Danio rerio: one gene and its partners. The protein of the gene in region 2 purifies or fractionates together with the protein of the main gene of each other region. This does not show direct contact. Links are inferred from orthologs where the notes say so. Each region holds a gene or a part of one and is shown on either strand. Other genes may lie near its edges. The genes, in order: zzz3, tada3l, kat2b, taf10 and atxn7l3a.

What was found.
Region 1: the proteins of tada3l (region 2) and zzz3 purify together in Homo sapiens (affinity purification with mass spectrometry; 4 studies listed by BioGRID and IntAct, counting the BioPlex papers as one, with this or other methods). This does not show direct contact. The link is inferred for Danio rerio from reciprocal best matches to the Homo sapiens genes TADA3 and ZZZ3.
Region 3: the proteins of tada3l (region 2) and kat2b purify together in Homo sapiens (affinity purification with mass spectrometry; 8 studies listed by BioGRID and IntAct, counting the BioPlex papers as one, with this or other methods). This does not show direct contact. The link is inferred for Danio rerio from reciprocal best matches to the Homo sapiens genes TADA3 and KAT2B.
Region 4: the proteins of tada3l (region 2) and taf10 purify together in Homo sapiens (affinity purification with mass spectrometry; 5 studies listed by BioGRID and IntAct, counting the BioPlex papers as one, with this or other methods). This does not show direct contact. The link is inferred for Danio rerio from reciprocal best matches to the Homo sapiens genes TADA3 and TAF10.
Region 5: the proteins of tada3l (region 2) and atxn7l3a purify together in Homo sapiens (affinity purification with mass spectrometry; 6 studies listed by BioGRID and IntAct, counting the BioPlex papers as one, with this or other methods). This does not show direct contact. The link is inferred for Danio rerio from reciprocal best matches to the Homo sapiens genes TADA3 and ATXN7L3.

What each region holds. Positions count from the first base shown.
Region 1 is NC_133177.1:9,166,329-9,169,850, reverse strand, and holds part of zzz3 (ZZ-type zinc finger-containing protein 3), read right to left. Parts: intron 2,667-3,522; coding exon 2,595-2,666; intron 1,562-2,594; coding exon 1,460-1,561; intron 1,208-1,459; coding exon 1,112-1,207; intron 1-1,111.
Region 2 is NC_133186.1:18,274,997-18,278,965, reverse strand, and holds the start of tada3l (transcriptional adapter 3), read right to left. Parts: upstream 2,821-3,969; 5' UTR 2,754-2,820; exon of another isoform or gene 2,665-2,753; intron 2,324-2,664; 5' UTR 2,300-2,323; coding exon 2,090-2,299; intron 1-2,089. Other genes in the region: arpc4l (actin related protein 2/3 complex, subunit 4, like), read left to right, coding at 3,522-3,524. UniProt on the Homo sapiens protein: Functions as a component of the PCAF complex. The PCAF complex is capable of efficiently acetylating histones in a nucleosomal context. The PCAF complex could be considered as the human version of the yeast SAGA complex.
Region 3 is NC_133194.1:23,150,725-23,152,960, reverse strand, and holds the end of kat2b (histone acetyltransferase KAT2B), read right to left. Parts: intron 704-2,236; coding exon 510-703; downstream 1-509. UniProt on the Homo sapiens protein: Functions as a histone acetyltransferase (HAT) to promote transcriptional activation. Has significant histone acetyltransferase activity with core histones (H3 and H4), and also with nucleosome core particles.
Region 4 is NC_133183.1:27,712,094-27,716,174, forward strand, and holds the start of taf10 (transcription initiation factor TFIID subunit 10), read right to left. Parts: upstream 2,810-4,081; 5' UTR 2,591-2,809; coding exon 2,473-2,590; intron 1-2,472. UniProt on the Homo sapiens protein: The TFIID basal transcription factor complex plays a major role in the initiation of RNA polymerase II (Pol II)-dependent transcription.
Region 5 is NC_133178.1:18,805,896-18,808,887, reverse strand, and holds the end of atxn7l3a (ataxin-7-like protein 3), read left to right. Parts: intron 1-680; coding exon 681-817; intron 818-894; coding exon 895-1,115; 3' UTR 1,116-2,484; downstream 2,485-2,992. UniProt on the Homo sapiens protein: Component of the transcription regulatory histone acetylation (HAT) complex SAGA, a multiprotein complex that activates transcription by remodeling chromatin and mediating histone acetylation and deubiquitination.

The DNA of each region.
Region 1 (3,522 bases), on a different chromosome or scaffold from region 2:
TCATTTTATTCGAATTCTTATATTCACTAAGGTGCCGCTGTTTGGGGTCGATAGTTGCATTACATCATCATCATTAACGTTAGTTAACCTGCAGGCTGCATTTTTCTCACGGGGCTGCGAGAAAATAAATAAAAAGAGCGGCACTACGGCAAAATAATGATTAAAAAAAGTAAAGCTATGGTCAAATAAATAAATAGAAGAAAAAAGTGTGACTGCTGAGAGTGCAAGCAGCTAGGGACACCGGCCCTCGCGGCCAAAAAACAGACCGGCCCACCGGGAATTCTCCCGGTCCTCCCGATTAGCCAATCCGGGCCTGGTTTCAATCGAGCCGAGACCACCTCATTCAGGCGATTCCGGGCTAATTGTTTTGCTGCGGATCAGAGAGCATTTGCTGATTCACATATGCCAAACGAACCGCGCTAACTGGGGAAATGAGACAGGTTCCGAAACAAAAGTCTAGGTGTGAAAGCACCCTAAGATTACAACAGAGAAAATTAAGATTAAAACAGTCCTCTTTTTTTAGTGTATTTTTGGCAGGCACAATGGTGTGATTAATAGTTATTTGTTTATTTCAACAAATAAAGTTGGGAATAATAATTACAATTGCGAGACTTCAATGTTCTTTTTGTCAGGAGCATTTTCACTTTCTCCTGCATTCACAGGCGTGCTTTTGTTGAAAGGTTTAAAATGATAAGGCAGTGGCCCTGCACTGTCATCAAACAGATAATGTGACTGAGGAGAATCTGGTGGAGAGAAATCCTGCACTTTTTTACACAGCTCTTAGATCCGCTGCTCTCCGAGTCACAGTCTATCTCGCCTGTGCGTGTGTTTGAAAATCAGCATGTGCACGTACTGAAACTCCCCTTTTCATGCAAACCCTTCCTCTTTCGCCACTTGACACGCCCACCCAAACAGAGCTGGACCACTTTTTTCAAACTAGAGGTGTAAAAACACCCTGCTGAGACAGGGGGCTTCATGGCTCTTTAAACAGTCACAAACCCTTTGTTGTAGTAAATAATGTGTAAAGATAAATATACAAATTATGTGTACATTACATGACATATAAAGAAAATAATACAAATGTAAAATTAATTTAAAAAAATGATTATACCTTTTTGCTGTACATGCACACATTGGGTGTTCTGCCGGGCACTGGAATTCCAGCCTTTGTCAGTTTTATGAAATACTTCTGCACCCTGCTAGCAACCTGCAGAGAAAAGCAACAAACATTTGACATAAAAAGAGCTGGCCATAAATTCAGTGATGAAGCTTTCTGACCACAGCTTTTATATTTTCAGACTCTTGTCACATTAGCAAAAAAAAAACCCATCTGTAAACAACAGAGCTTCCATTAAATGAGGCTTTGAATTGCATGACTTATTTATTGAGCAGTGAAAATGTGACTAGAAAGAGAAGTCCGTCAATGCTATGAGAGAATGGGCAGGCCCTGAAGACGCACCTGTTTGGCGGTCCTGTTGCCAAGTTCATCTGCGATCTTCTGCCAGCGTTTAGACTCAACCTCCTCTGGTGGGAACTTCAAAAGCAGCTGCTCCAACTTTTTCTACAGGTTTCACATACAAGATGAGATGAGAAAACAGCTACACCAAAGACTAAAATGTACATAATAGCATACGTTCACAAATTTAAATGGACAATTGTTAGGGCTGCACGATATTTGAAAAAATTAGCGATATTTTGTTTTGTTGCGATATAGATTGCCATATAAACAGCATGATTTGGAAAGAATTCATTAATTTAGACTGGGGATTATTCTGGAAGAATATAGGGATTACTACTGAAAACAATAGAAGTGAAATATTTTAAAATCACAGTATTTAGGTACAGAAGTTAAATATTCAAATATAGAATATTCACACTATACACTTACTGGCCATTTTATTAGGTACAGGTGTCCAACTGCTTAACGCAAATTTCTAATCAGCCAATCACATGGCAGCAACTCAAGGCATTTATGCAAGTTGACATGGTCTAGACGATCTGCTGCAATTTAAACCAAGCATCCGAATGGGGAAGATGGGCTGGTCTGCGTATTTCAGAAACTGTTGATCTACTGGGATTTTCATGCACAACCATCTCACGGGTTTACAGAGAATGGTCAGAGGAAAATGGCCAGACTGGTTCCAGCTGATAGAAAGGCAACATTAACTCAAATAACCACTTGTTACGAGTGAGGTATGCAAAAGAGCATCTCTGAACGCAAAACATGTCGAACCTTGAGGCGAATGGGCTACAGCAGCAAAAGATCACACTGATTCCCAACTTTCTTCCCAGAAAAAGTGTGAGTTTGAACTGTTGTTACTCCATTTTCTGTGCAAACTCAAAACATTGGCAAAAAAACACAGTTTTACACAGAATCCCCACTGCCAACTACTATTTCGGAAGTGTTATTGCAGAGCAACATGGACAGAACGCAGAAGTACAATTGCTCACAAGGATATCAGCAACATGGGGGGGATGCCAATCTCACAATAATAAAGTATAAATTGGACTAACAGTGTTACAACCTGTGCACATTTAATAGTTTGTTTAAATTTGTTTATAGACGTCTCAGAGTTCACAGCTACTAGTACTACCTGCTCCTCGATGGTCCACAGCTGGTTGAAGGTGTCTGGTTTGCTCTGGTTGCACAGCCTTCCTCTGATCATCTAAACAAACATCATCAGTAGGAAAATCAACAAAACAGCATACATGGGCATTGTGGCTACACTACACACACACACACACACACACACACACATATATATATATATATATATATATATATATATTTTGTCTGTCTACAGAACAACCCGTCGTTATACAATAACTTGCCTAATTACCCTAACCTGCCTAGTTAACCTAATTAACCCCATTAAGCCTTTTAACGTCACTTTAAGCTGTATGGAAGTGTCTTGAAAAATATTTAATCAAATATTATTTACTGTCATCATGGCAAAGATAAAATAAATCAGTTATTACAAATGAGTTATTAAAACTATCATGTTTAGAAATGTGTTGAAAAAAAAAATCTTCTCTCCGTTAAACAGAATTTGGGAAAAAAATAAACAGGACGACTAAAAATTCAGGGGGGCTAATAATTCTGACTTCAACTAACCTATTAAAGTTAAATATTAATGGCAATAGAACTTGGGTTGCTCTACAATTATATATTTTTTTAATTATGGCAATAATAAAAATAAAATACTGACCTTTTTTTTTGTTTTTATTTTGCCCACTCAACAATTCACACATTACTGTCTAGCTAGCTTAGTTATCACCAATAAAGCCTAGAAATTGGGAAATAGTTTGAAAAGAAAGACAATTTCAAAAGAGGGCAAATAATTCTGATTCAACTGCGTCAAAAACATAATTTGTTATTTAATTTTAGTTTGTAACTTGTAAATTGTTTTAAATTTAAAATTGTCATATATACATCAGTGTGAAGCCTATGAATGGTGGAACACATATTCTGTAATATTAAAACCACCTGGGTCTCCACTTTTGCATGGTCTCTTTTTTGTT
Region 2 (3,969 bases):
TCACGATTATTTAGTTCATAATTGTAATCACGATTATTCAAAACGATTATCAGTTGAAGTCAAAATTTCACAAATGATGTTTAACAGAGCAAGGAATTTTAACAGTGTTTTCTAAAATATTTTTTTCCTCTAGGCTCATTTGTTTTATTTTAGCTAGAATAAATGCAGGTTTAAATATTTTGAAACCCATTTTAAGGTCAATATTATTAGCTCCCTTAAGCAAGCTATTTTTTGATTCTCTGCAGAAGAAACTACTGTTATACAATGACTTGCCTAATTACCCCATCTAAGCCTTTGAATCACACTTTAATCTGAATGCTTGTATTTTGAAAAATATCTAGAAAAATATTATGTACTGTTGTCATAGCAAAGATAAAAGAAATCAGTTAATAGAAATGAGATAACAAAACTATTACGTTCAGAAATAAGTAAAAACAACTTCTTTCCATTAAACAGAAATTGGGTAGGAAAAGGGATGCTAATAGGAGGGCTAATAATTCTGACTTGAACTACATATATACAGTTATTTTCCACCCTGTAAAGGAAAAAGAAATAAATACAATAGAATAGAAATATGAAACAAACTGTGTGTGCCGCACACACACATAAGCAGGTGGTCTTTCGCGCTTTTAAGAGCAACACATGTGTACAGCTGGAAAGATGGTGGTATATGATGCAATAATCATTTATCTAGATTTATGCTTTTTCATAATCGTTTGAAGCCAAAATCAAAACCGAAATCGGATTTTAAATGAGTTGGCTACCTGTAGATGTTGCTCGTGCACAGCCACCGATCCTATTGTATTTTATTTAAATCCACTTATTTTAAATATTCAGCGTAGCCTGCCATGGGCTAGGTCTAGAAAAAAAAATAATAATAATATATATATATAAATATATATATATATATATATATATATATATATATATATATATATATATATATATATATATATATATATATATATTTTTTTATAATAATAATAAATGATTATTAAAAAACTAAACAATAAAAACAGTAAGTGAACAATATTAAATATTATTATTATTGTTGTTGTTATTTAGGCCTTCAGTAGCACGGAAACAATCATGCAAACCAGGTGCTGCTCGTAAATGGCTGTCTTTGCTCAGCATCAGGTGCACAGCAGCAAGACGTTTGGTAGGAGAACTAAAGGCATATATTATTATTATTATTATTATTATTATTATTATTATTATTATTAATATTATTATTATTAACATTATTAATATTATCATCATTATTATTATATAGGCCTTGTTAGGAAATAATCATGCAAACTAGGTGCTGTTTGGAAATGGCTATCTTTGCTCAGCATCAGTTGCGCTGCTGCAGGACGTTTGTCAGCGAACTATGGCCTTATTTTAACGACAAATGTCTAAAAATACTGCTAATTTATGTTTTTTTTTTAATTTAGGCATACGCAAAGAATGTTGGCCTGCTAACAGATCAAATGACAGAATATGTAAACTTAGTTTATATATATGATTAAATAACAATAATTAAAAGTCTGGCTGCTGATCCACAGAGTGCTCTTATTTTGAGGGCGACGTTACGAGCTCAGATTTGGTTGACCAATCAGAGGAAAAAGGGCGTTTCAGCACCACCTACATGTGTATAAAGAATTTTGAAGTCGTTAATCCATTTTTCTACCGTAAATTAAAAAAATAAAAATCAAGTCAAAATGTCATTTTTTCGCAAATGAAAAAAAAAAGTCTTTTTCTTTTCTTTTCTTTTCTTCAGTATCCTTTTTTGTTTGAAAACGGATATGAATTGGACGGAAGATACTGATTCTGATTATACACACACCCAATTTATATATTGTGCAGCCCTAATTCAATCACAGGAAAAAAATCACTACATTCTACATTACAAAACACCTGTTTTACAATAAAACATTCTCACAAATTGTATTTCTTCTTCCATTTTATTTTTAAAAAAATAAATAAATAAATGCAGCTTTGATGAGAAGTAGAGACTTCTGTCAAAATCATTGAAAAGTCCCACTGATTCCAAACTAGTGTACGCACAAGATGTGAAAAAGACAAGTGTAAAAACAGCAGTTTTCACCTGTCTCTGTTCCTCCAGTGCTCGGAGACGTCGGCTCGCAGAGGACAAGAGTGTTTCCAGCTCCAGCTGAAGCGTGTCGAGCTCTTCAATGCCAATGCCATCATCCTCTGAGCGGCTGAGCACTGCAGTGTAGCGTGGACACACTTTCACATGGTCCACAGGTTTGAAGTCATAGTACTTTAATGGGGGGCAATCCTTCAGTTCACTCATCTCTGCATTTACAGAAATCTATATCTGTAATGAAATAATAAACAAAGTGAGGGTTAAAAAAAGTATATTCTAATTGTCTTTTTAGTGTTATTAATGAGCAGCACAAATTGTAAATGGTTTTGATCTAGTGGTAACGTTACTAGTGGACAGCTACAGAAAAACAAAACAGAGATGTGTTGTTATTTATACTGTTTGGTGTGTAACAAATCTAATCCTACATGTATTGAATTTTTCACTCTATTATGTAATAGTGATTGCCATATAAGATGATAAATGATATAACGAGCAGCCAATGTAGGCTAACGGCTACAAGCTAATTTAGCTCCATGCTGTTCAAAGCACAGGCAGCCGGTTATAGCATTTACCAGCATATTTGCGTATAGCTTTCAATGAAAAGACTTGTGCTGACAATTAAACTATATGATTAAATACGAAATAGGACGATAAACTCAACTCCTATACTGCATTAATTGATTCATAAAATAGCATTGTTTACCTCCGATGAAGGGGCAACCATTACTGACTAGACCATTATGCCAGTAGGGGGGATACAGCTCGTTGATTACATTTTAAAAACATGAATGTATATCATAAGAGCTTCAATTTGGCCGTTGCACGTTTTCTTAAAATATTGTATAGTTAAATTATTATTCGACATTCGACAAATACCGCTTCCTGTCAGTTGACATTCACAACGCAACACCGCAGTTCATTGAATGGTACATTCGATACCAAAGCGCGTCTGAATGGAAATAAATTGTATTTATTTTCAAAAAAATAATCAACTGTTCAAAGCCACAAAAGAGCTAATGTTTATTTCGGAACATTAATATTTATAGATTACACCCTGTTTGATAAACGTACAATTTATTTGACCTGTCGAGTAATTTGCCATATAAGGAAGAAAAAACGAATCTAGGAAAAACTGCTGCTGGGCTTTACCGTAATTAAACAAAAAGATTTTTCAACATTACTGTTATGTTGTTTTAGTAGCTGTATTATTTTCTTACATTATAATAGTGACAACTTTAGTTTGCATTAACATATGTTTTGTAATTTGACATCCACTCGTGTAAATTTAAACCACGCGCTTGTGAGAATTAAGCTGAATTGCTCTTTCAATAGATAAATTACGGGAGTGTGAGGACGCAATGGAGGCGTGATTCCTCATCTCCAGGCGTGGCGTGCGGACTTCCGTCTTCCTCCACAGACCTCATATAAAATGGTAAGAGATTTTCGATTCTCGAAAGTTGCAAATATTGTTTTTGATTATAGCCCAACCAATTAAATAACCCATGAAAAAGCTTTTCGGTAAAGCATTTTGCATAGAGAAACAGCTTTGATTTCTGGCTTATTTGATCGAGTGTTCTGTCCTGATTTATGCTAGCTAGCTAACGTCAGGGATTTTGCATCCTCTTTAACAGAATCAAAATAATAAATGGATTCGATTAAATACTATTTATGCTACATAAATGTTTTGTTTGATGTGGTATTTGATATGATTGTTGAAATGTATTTATAAGAATAGTTATTGACAACCTGAATTACTATCAGAAGCTCATTGTAATGACAAGCACACAACTGCTCTTCCACTCACTGACAGTCACGTTTTTGTGTATTTACTACGAGTATACGTTCATGAATAATAATAATATGGAGACAACTGTATA
Region 3 (2,236 bases), on a different chromosome or scaffold from region 2:
TTATTTTTTCACAATTAAGAGCTATAAACCTGATATAAAATATTTTGTCACAAACCTTTGTGTTTATATGCTCTTATAATTATCAGTTTGATGGCACAGCTTTGACTTTTTTCTCACAATTGCAAGTTTATAGGCTTTCTCACACAATTCTGACTTCATATTTGACATGTATTTAACTTTTTTCTTCAGAAAGGTGATATAAACTGCAAGTTTTGAAGTAGAAACTGCAAGATATGAAGTTGCAATTTTGAGGAAAAAAAAAATTGATTTACAAGATGTTAACTGTTATGTCAAATTCCCAAATATAAAAAAACAAAACTCCAAAAAGAGAGATGTAAACTCACAATTATGGATAAATATTCAAATTTGTGAGATAAAACGTGGCAATTGCATTTGTTTTTATAATTCTGTGGAGGAAACAAGTTTCCATATGGATAAATGGAGTTAAATATGCTAAAAAGAGGTAGAGAAAGAGGGAAACGGACTGCGTGCACGTGCCCTCGGTTAGATTACTTGTCGATGAGGCCTGCCTCCTTGATCTTGGTGTAGAAGAACTTCTCTAGTAGATTGGCACATTTGTAGTACTCGCTTTCAGGAGGGTTGTATTCTCGACAGTTAGTGAAGATCCTCTGCATGTCGGCCATGAACAGCTTCCTCGTGGTGTAGTAACGACTTTTCAGCCGCTCGCTCATCGTCTTCAGGTCTACAACAGGAGACATCCATGATCATTCATGATCAGTTTGGGATTTTATAATGTTTTTCAAAAGAAGCCTGTTCTGCTCACCAAAGGGGCTTTTACTTAATTTAAGTTTTACCTGAGTAAAAACTCAAATTTACTATGAATTACTAATAATTTTTTACTTATTAAATGTAGTTTAAAATGTAGTTAATTTCTGTGATTTAAAGATTAAATTTTAGCTTCATTACGTCAGTGTCACATGATCCATCAAAATTCATTTTAATACACAGTAAAACTTGAAAGTATTACTTCAGCTTGTTACAACTACATGAATTAATCCATTTTCACTTAATTTATTATGGTTTTCAGTAATAATTAAGTTTTAGGTGTAAAAAAGTATATTTTTTTATTTAACTAATAAACCTGTTTTTCAGTGATCTGCAAGGTTATTTTAGCAAACGAGGACTAAATTTACAATTAAAACATTTTTGTTAGCTTGAAAATAAAATGAAAAAAAATTCACAATAAACGATAAACTAAAGGAAACTAACATTGAAACACTAACTCAAATAAAAAAATAATTAGCAAAAACAAATCATTATCTTCAGATTTCGTAAGCACTCATTCTGTTGTGGACAATTTGGAAAAATTACACTTTGTTTATTTAAAATGAGCTGAAACAATCACAATTCTTAAGGTTTTTAGGGGACAACTTAATTGTTTTATGTACAATCCACTTAACTTTGTAAAAGTTAACTGAACTCCTTCATGTTGTCCCAACACAAATCGATTGTGTGAAACCCAGCATTTTTTACAGTGGGACCAGCGACGATTTAGAGAAGAACCTGTTAATGGTGGTTTTACGGTCAAACATGTCAGTCAAGATTCTGAAATGTGCATCCAATGTGTGCTACGCTATCCCATAATGCCCCGCGAGAGAATTCATGAACGGGAGTGAATCGAGGCAACTGACACGGGTAGGTCACGTGATCATGACAAAATGGCTGATGTAGTACGTCCGAGCTCCATTCATACATTCATACTGTATAGAAAGTACTTTTCTAATGGTCAAGAAGTACATTTTAATTAAAATGCAGTACCTACTGAGTAGTAGGCAGCTTTGGATGCAGCCTGGGTATGTTAAACTTTATATAAGGATTGATCTTTCTGAATTCCTAATTTGTAAGGTTTTTGGGTTCAGTGTTTGTTCAAATAATTATTTAATGTTTGGATTTGCACAAGAGTTAATGTAAGCTGTGCAACTATTAACTTTAATTTGGTGGACATTGGATATGTTTTGTTAACGCTGTTAAACTACAATAGGTATATGCCGAAGTATGCTAAAAGACTTTAATTTGTCAGTAACCTAAGTTAAGTGTTTCCTGTGAACTGTATGTCATTGCAAAATCTGCGTGTTTAAGGTCTGTTTTCTTTAAAAACCAGCTATCTTTACTAGCTGAGTGATATCAAATATAAAGTGGGTCTCAATTTTTACAAGAAGCACTGCATTAAATAAAAATTTTTCCCAGCCATGTCATGAACATTTATTTTACTAGC
Region 4 (4,081 bases), on a different chromosome or scaffold from region 2:
CTGACCATCTGCTTCTGCTCTGTTATGGCAGTTCTTCTCTGATGACGTCAGTTTGACAGATTGGAGCAAAAGATGCTTAGCCACACCTCTTCAACCGTTAAGTTTGCCACAAGTGAAAGATGACAGGAGCACAAAAATAAAACCCGCCCACTGCTCAATATTTCAATTCAGTTGGAAATAGGTCATCACACTGAAATAAAAGTTTGCAACAACTTCCTGTTAATACAGGCATTAAAGTGGGCATTGGCTCTTTGTGATAAATCACAATACCCTTTCTCATTTGACAGTTGCTTTGGACAAAAGTTGGACAACTAAGTGTAAATAATTGAATTTATAATTAAATGTTTGTAGGTAAATGCTAAGCTCTCTGATCAGGGCTGGGTAGTAACTAGGCCCACATGGAATCTGTGTGCGCAGAAATCCACAGATTTCCACAGGGTTTTTTTTTGCCAAATTTATATATTTTATTATATATATATATATATATATATATATATTATTATTATTATTATTATTACATTTATTTCAGTAATATTATTGACCATATGAAAATGTTCATATGATTTATTTACAATACAGTTTGTAAAGTAATATTTCGTCTTTTAGTAGATTTTAGTAGACTTGCTTTGTTTACCAAATAAGTGCATCTAATTATTTAATTAAAAAATTAAATAAGTTAAAATTCCATATATTAAGTATTTAGTTAAGTTGCTTCCAAAATCTTTTTGCATAAATTCACACATTTTTTACTTCTGCGCAGAAACAGCAAAAAATGTCTGCAGATTCTGTCTGGCCGTGGTAATAACACATGATAACTATATTTTACATGATATAATTTTCAAATAAAACAGTAATATGTGACAGGATTACAATATAACAACTAATAGTTTTTTTTAATATGATGCAGCTTAAAGTGGCTTTATGAATTGTGTAAATAAATGCATTAAAACCACAAATTTTGTGAATTGGTCGCTCTTCATTTTCTTTAAGCACAGAGTCTGCCCCAGGAGTTTATGTTGACATTAAAATTTGGTATATTGTGAATTTACTGTTTAATAATGGAAAAGTATTTTAGTGTAAAGTGTAAATAGGAAGTGTAAGTAAACTAATTTTACTCATTTTAAAATAGAAACTATCACTCACATCTTACTATCTTTTTTTAATACTTAGTTTTTATGTATTTTTTTAGAAACATATAACCAGTGGGAACAAAACAAACTATAAAACATATAAACACACATACATAACAAGTATATACGTGTATATACACAAATACATCCATTCCACACAAGTATATCTATATGCATACATATATAAAAAACAGTAAATTAACCTCATCAAGAAAATAAATGAATAAAAAAGTACAAAACAAATATAATAAAAGGTTGACAAACATTCTCGCAATGATGCATAACCTCTAGAATTACGTAAACGTTAAATTATGGATAATTGTATTGCCGTTGTAGAGAAAGCCAGCCATCTCTTTTTCTATTTGTAATCATTTTTTCCATTTCTGTTATTATTTTGAGCGGATCTTCTTCATACCATTTCCAGGTTATAGCTTTTCTTACTTTTTGCCAATAATATTTTAAATAGATATCCAGCCTCCTTTTCAAGTTTAATAGTTATGTCCCCTAGATAAAGTACTTTGAATGATCTAGAAATATGAAGATCAAAAATATAATTAATGGCCGAGAGTAGTTTCTCAAAAACTGTTCATTCTTAAGCACTGCCAGGATATATGTGCATGATGTGCCTCTTCTACCCCCCACAGTTGTCTCACTACCTTTATACCTTAAAAGAAACAAATTTTACTTTCTTAAATCGATTTTTTAAAATAAATTGTCACTATTTGCACCTTGATTTGAAAATGTGATTGGCTTGTTTTTCAGTTGTTGTCTATACTACTATACCCGTTTTATGCTATTGCCCTTGAAAATTCACTGTTGTACTAATTGCAGTAAAAAAGAAAAGCAAGAGCACCCCAAGAAAGAAGACTTGAAGTTGACCATGTAATATTTAGCTGTAGTGAGGAAATGTCATGTAGGCCACATTGCACATTGCGTTTAAAATCACTTGGATTTCTGTGATCAACCCATTCTGTCAAATGTTTGTCTGCATGCCTAGGTGCTTGATTATAATACACCTGAATTCAATGGAGGGGTGTCCCAAAAACGTTGGTTTTTGCTGTAACGTTACCTCAGATCTGTGAAATGTTCATCTCTTTGACATGCGTTTGACAAGTTTTACAATATACGAGAAGTTTAAACGATTAGTTATCTGTTTGCTTCGTACAACTATTATTCAGGAGCAAAAATCTGCATTAAAACGTGAAATAAATAAAGTTGTGACTTTTTTGTGATAATTGGCGATAACAACTAATATAAAAAAAGCGATAAACTGTTATTATTTTCAAGTCACATCGCCCAGTAAAAAATGAGTGTTGTGGAAAAGACACACAGAGACACACACCATTGCTGCTGGCGAGCGCAGGGATGCTGCTGGCGTTTGTGGTGCTGCTGTTCGGGACGCAGTTGCTGCTGCTGGACGCCGCCGCTGCTGCTCCGGTCTGCGTGAGATCCACGTTCATTTTCCCGGCTTAGTTTATGTATTGCAAACGCTAAGCTATACTAGAAAAACACACACAGTTTAAACTAATGTTGGGTTGAGTCGAGCGCTCATTTATGCCGTTTAAACGGCGAAGTATCGGTCGCTCGCTCTGATGATAAAAATATTTACGCTGCAACTGCGTCAGGTGATCAACACTTCCGTGTGCAACCACTATGAAATCCCGCTTGGTGTTGGAAATCGTCAATGGTTCCGGATAAATCCCTTTTAGCTCACATTTATTATTTGTAGTATTGAATTTAAAGCGCAAACTTTGTCATACGTATTTGGCATTCAATATATAATTTGCAGTTCATCCAAAAGGAGAAAGAAGAAACATATTGCGTGTGTAGACCTAGACCGAGGACATTTTGCAACAGCTCCATCTAGTGATGGCGGTGAAGTGGGTTATTTCACACAAAGGAATGTCAGAAAACTTAAATATAGTTATAGTGTTCAAATTACACTTTAAGGTCTCTGTGACTGCAACTAATACACTTAAACCACAAAATAATCTTGTTATTAGCGTATCAATCTTACATGCTGTCATGTTACTCATGTTATCTTAAATAATATTAATAATTAAAATAAAATAGATTATACAAATATAAATTTGACCACCCCTATGGTTAAAGGCATAATCGCGCCAATCAGTCTTTGCAAGACTCATTCAACAGCGTGGATACTGTAGTGTTCGAGACAGTTCTCTTGTAAAATAGGTGTTTGTATAGTTTGAGTTACAGTAACCTCTAAAATAATAAGAGAATATTTAAATGTCTTTAGATGTCATTTAAAAAAAAAGGCTAAATTTGACAGAGTAATTTGCACTCTGAGTATTAGTATTAAATATATTATATATATTATAATAATATTGTAAGTATTATTATAATACTTTAATTAAAATTTGAATATATCATCTTATAGCCTGTCATTTAGAGTTTATTATTTCTAAAAATGGCTATTAAATCTTATGGCATTATTCATTCATTTTCTTTCAGCTTAGTCCCTTTATTCATCAGGGGTCGCCACAGCAAAATGAACCGCCAACTTATCCAGCCTATGTTTTACACAGCGCATGCCCTTCCAGCTGCATTCCAGTAGTGGGAAACATCAATATACCCTCAATCACACACATACACTACGACCAATTAAGTTTATTCAATTCACCTTAACTGCATGTGTTTGGACTGTGTGGGAAACCAGAGCTCTTTTGGAATTAATGAAATTTAAATAAATTCCTTAGAATGCCTGCTTAAATCCAGTCCAAAATAATAAATATTATTCTGAAAGGTTTCTAGAACAAACTTAAGTGTGTTAGATCTTGGAGGGGAAAATGTTATTAATTTCCTAAATGCTTTTTTTGGACACTAATATTAATTAATAGATAATTTAACAAAAGAAAAAAAAAATGTTTGGGTGTGTGAAAACACAAAGGTTTGTTCTCGTATTTTTAAACTCTTTCAAGCCAAAACAC
Region 5 (2,992 bases), on a different chromosome or scaffold from region 2:
ATGTATCAAAATTCCACTGATTTCCTGATAAATGTTGCATTCTGGGATAATCCAGCGCAGCTCTTTGATAATAAGCTGATCTCTCCTTCCTCAATGCAGTATTGGATGAACACAATATGCAGCCTATTCCTCTTGCTTTTTCTACTTTGGAGAAGACAGGAGAAGGTATCACTGCTTAAACTTACTCCGAAACGTTTTGCGTTTTTTCATAATGGATTAATGAATACGCGTCAGACTGGATATGCAAAAACGCATGCAAAAATGTCAGACTTCAGTGTGCAAAAGACCTTTAGGCTAGTATAAAAAGCTTCTTGTTAATTTGTTAGCTATAAAATAAGACCCTGTCTGTGTTTAAATGACCTCCTCATGCTTTGTGTTATGTCATGAGGAAGCTTGATTCCACCTCTCCTTTTCATCAACTCTGCATGTTTCCATAATCCGCACACTGATGTTGTGGTCTAGTTTCTATTTAAGAAAGCAGCTGTGAGTCAGATTTGAAAGATGTTAATTTCTCAAATTAAAGCGTTTCAACTCATAACATAATTGCTGACAAGAAACCAGGTCAGATCACTGGAAAATGTAGTTTAGGTGTCATACTCCATCTGTCGACTTTTTCCTTGAACTGAGGTGCCAATTCAGCGTTTTTGACGAGAGAGTCATTTCCTGTTTCTGTTTACCAGGTCAACACTACCAGACGCTGACACCATGCTGGAAAACGAGGCCTATGAACCCCCTGATGGCCAGCTCATCATGTCCCGTCTCCATTGGGACGCTTCCTCTGACATCTCCCCATCAGACTCGGCATCTTCAAAAGCCAGTGAGTTTCCTGAAGACTTTTTTTTTTTGTCAAGACGCCACATGTATCTGCTTGTCATGACATGATCTCGTTCTCAGGCACCAATAACTCTGAATCCAAGAGACCGAAGAAGAAGAAGCCCAGCACGCTTTCTCTGACTCCCGCAGGAGAGAGGGATAAAGCACAGGAGCGAGACAGAATAGCAGGCAGCGGGAGCAGCGGTAGCAGCTCCCAGAATGCTCTGGGTCTCTCAAGTCGGAAAAAGCGACCAAAACTTGCAGTTCCTCCAGCACCCAGCATCTATGATGACCTGAACTAAGGCACATGCATCCCACACACACACCCACACCCAATCATGACTGACTTGATGAGGTTTTATCTGGTCTTTAGTTTCCCCCATTTCAGTGCACGTGAACGTGACGTGTGTGTAAAGACTGGGCCCCTTTTCAGACTTCTGCAGGCATGAAGAGATCATTTGTTACAGCACAGTGTTGCACAGTGAGTGATTTAACTGAATATATATATATATATATATTGTGTGAATGGAACTAGCTTTATTTTGATTTTACTATGCAGTTCACTGTCATCTCTTAGGAGATTTGGGTTTACAGTGATGTGTGTGTGAGAGTTGGACAGTTTGTATGTGAATGGGTTGTTGCAAGTATTTTGTCCCTGGTGGCTCATGTAATTCAGTCAGGTGCTTAGTGGTTTTTAAAGGACGTCTCTGCTTCATGTTGTCTTGCTAATCTTTCTGCAACCTGATAGGCTCGGCTATGCTCTTTTAATGCCAAACAATATACTCTCTTTTGCTCTCCCTTAAAGGGACAGTTCACCCCAAAATGAAAATTCTGCAATCATTTACTCACCCTTGTTTAAAGCCTTTTTGAGTTTACACAAGAAGATATTTTGGAAAATGAGAGTATGGAAATCAGTGTTTTCCAGCATTCTTCACAATTTTTGTGTGTGTGTGTTTAAAAGCACATGAGCGTGAGTGAATAATGTGAATTTTCAATTGTGGCTGATCTGTCTCTTTAATGAACTTGGTTAGCGCTACCAGCAGCTTTCTGCCAAATCTGTGCGCACACAATCTTCTGCCTTGTGTGTTTTGGAGTTTGCTGTTCTTGTTTGCTGTCATGGTTAATATATTTTGCCTGTATTTATTTGATCTGCTGTGTGAATGTTGTTTTGTTTTAAATCATGATATGTGTATGCATTTCCTCGCATTATGGACTTAAAATGAGTTTGTTGATCTTCAAAGCACTTACTATTTAACGTTAGATGGTTTTGTATTAAATATAGTTTGTTAAAGTCTAATCAGAAATGCGTATAGCAATTGAAAATGCACTTAAGATGGATCAAATCCAGCCCCTATGGACGCCTTGTCTTTTTTAAAGTGAAAATGTTGTCATTGTTTGATCGTTAGTGAATTTTAGAGTTTGAAATGACTTGAGCTTTTGTGTTTGTTGTGAATGGACAGAATTGGTACAATTCACACTGTCCTTGCTGTGAGTGGATGTTTCGTCTGTGACGCCGAGTTCTTGCTGTCTCTCAATGCACTGTAGTGTCTTTGTAATGGTTGAAGTAAATATTCATTTTGAAGTAATTCACCATTTAATTTCTGAAGTCTGAGGAATGAAAGAGTCATTTGTTTGCTCACATTAAAATATGCTCAACAAGTGTCTTTCAAATATGAGCTATTTTATTCTCAAGCAAAAACAAAGCATTAAAGAGGTGCTAGTTGTCTGTTAAAGCAAACAGAATAGGTAGTTTCCCCTAAAACCATATTCAATTTCTGACAATATTGAGCAAAAAAAAGTGCAACCCATTCAAACAAGAACCAAAGTATCCAATGCTTTGTGGTTCCCACACACGTCTTGATTTATCTACAGTAAATACATTGCATATATACAGATTTTTACACAGGACACCAAATGTGTGGCTGTTATCGCTGTCATGTATTAATGCCTATCAACACAGTGAGTTTTCCCTATAGTCTACTCCAGTCCTGATACTGTTTGAGGGTTGCATGTAAAATCTTTATCAAGTATAAAACTCTTATAACTAGAAGCGGATGTGCTGAACCAGTGCCATGTAAAAGACAAAGGAAATAAATAGATTTCAATGTAACTGGCAAAAGAGAGAGGGAGAGGGGGGAAAAGGACAACTCAATAGTGACTAAGCAGTACATCACATATG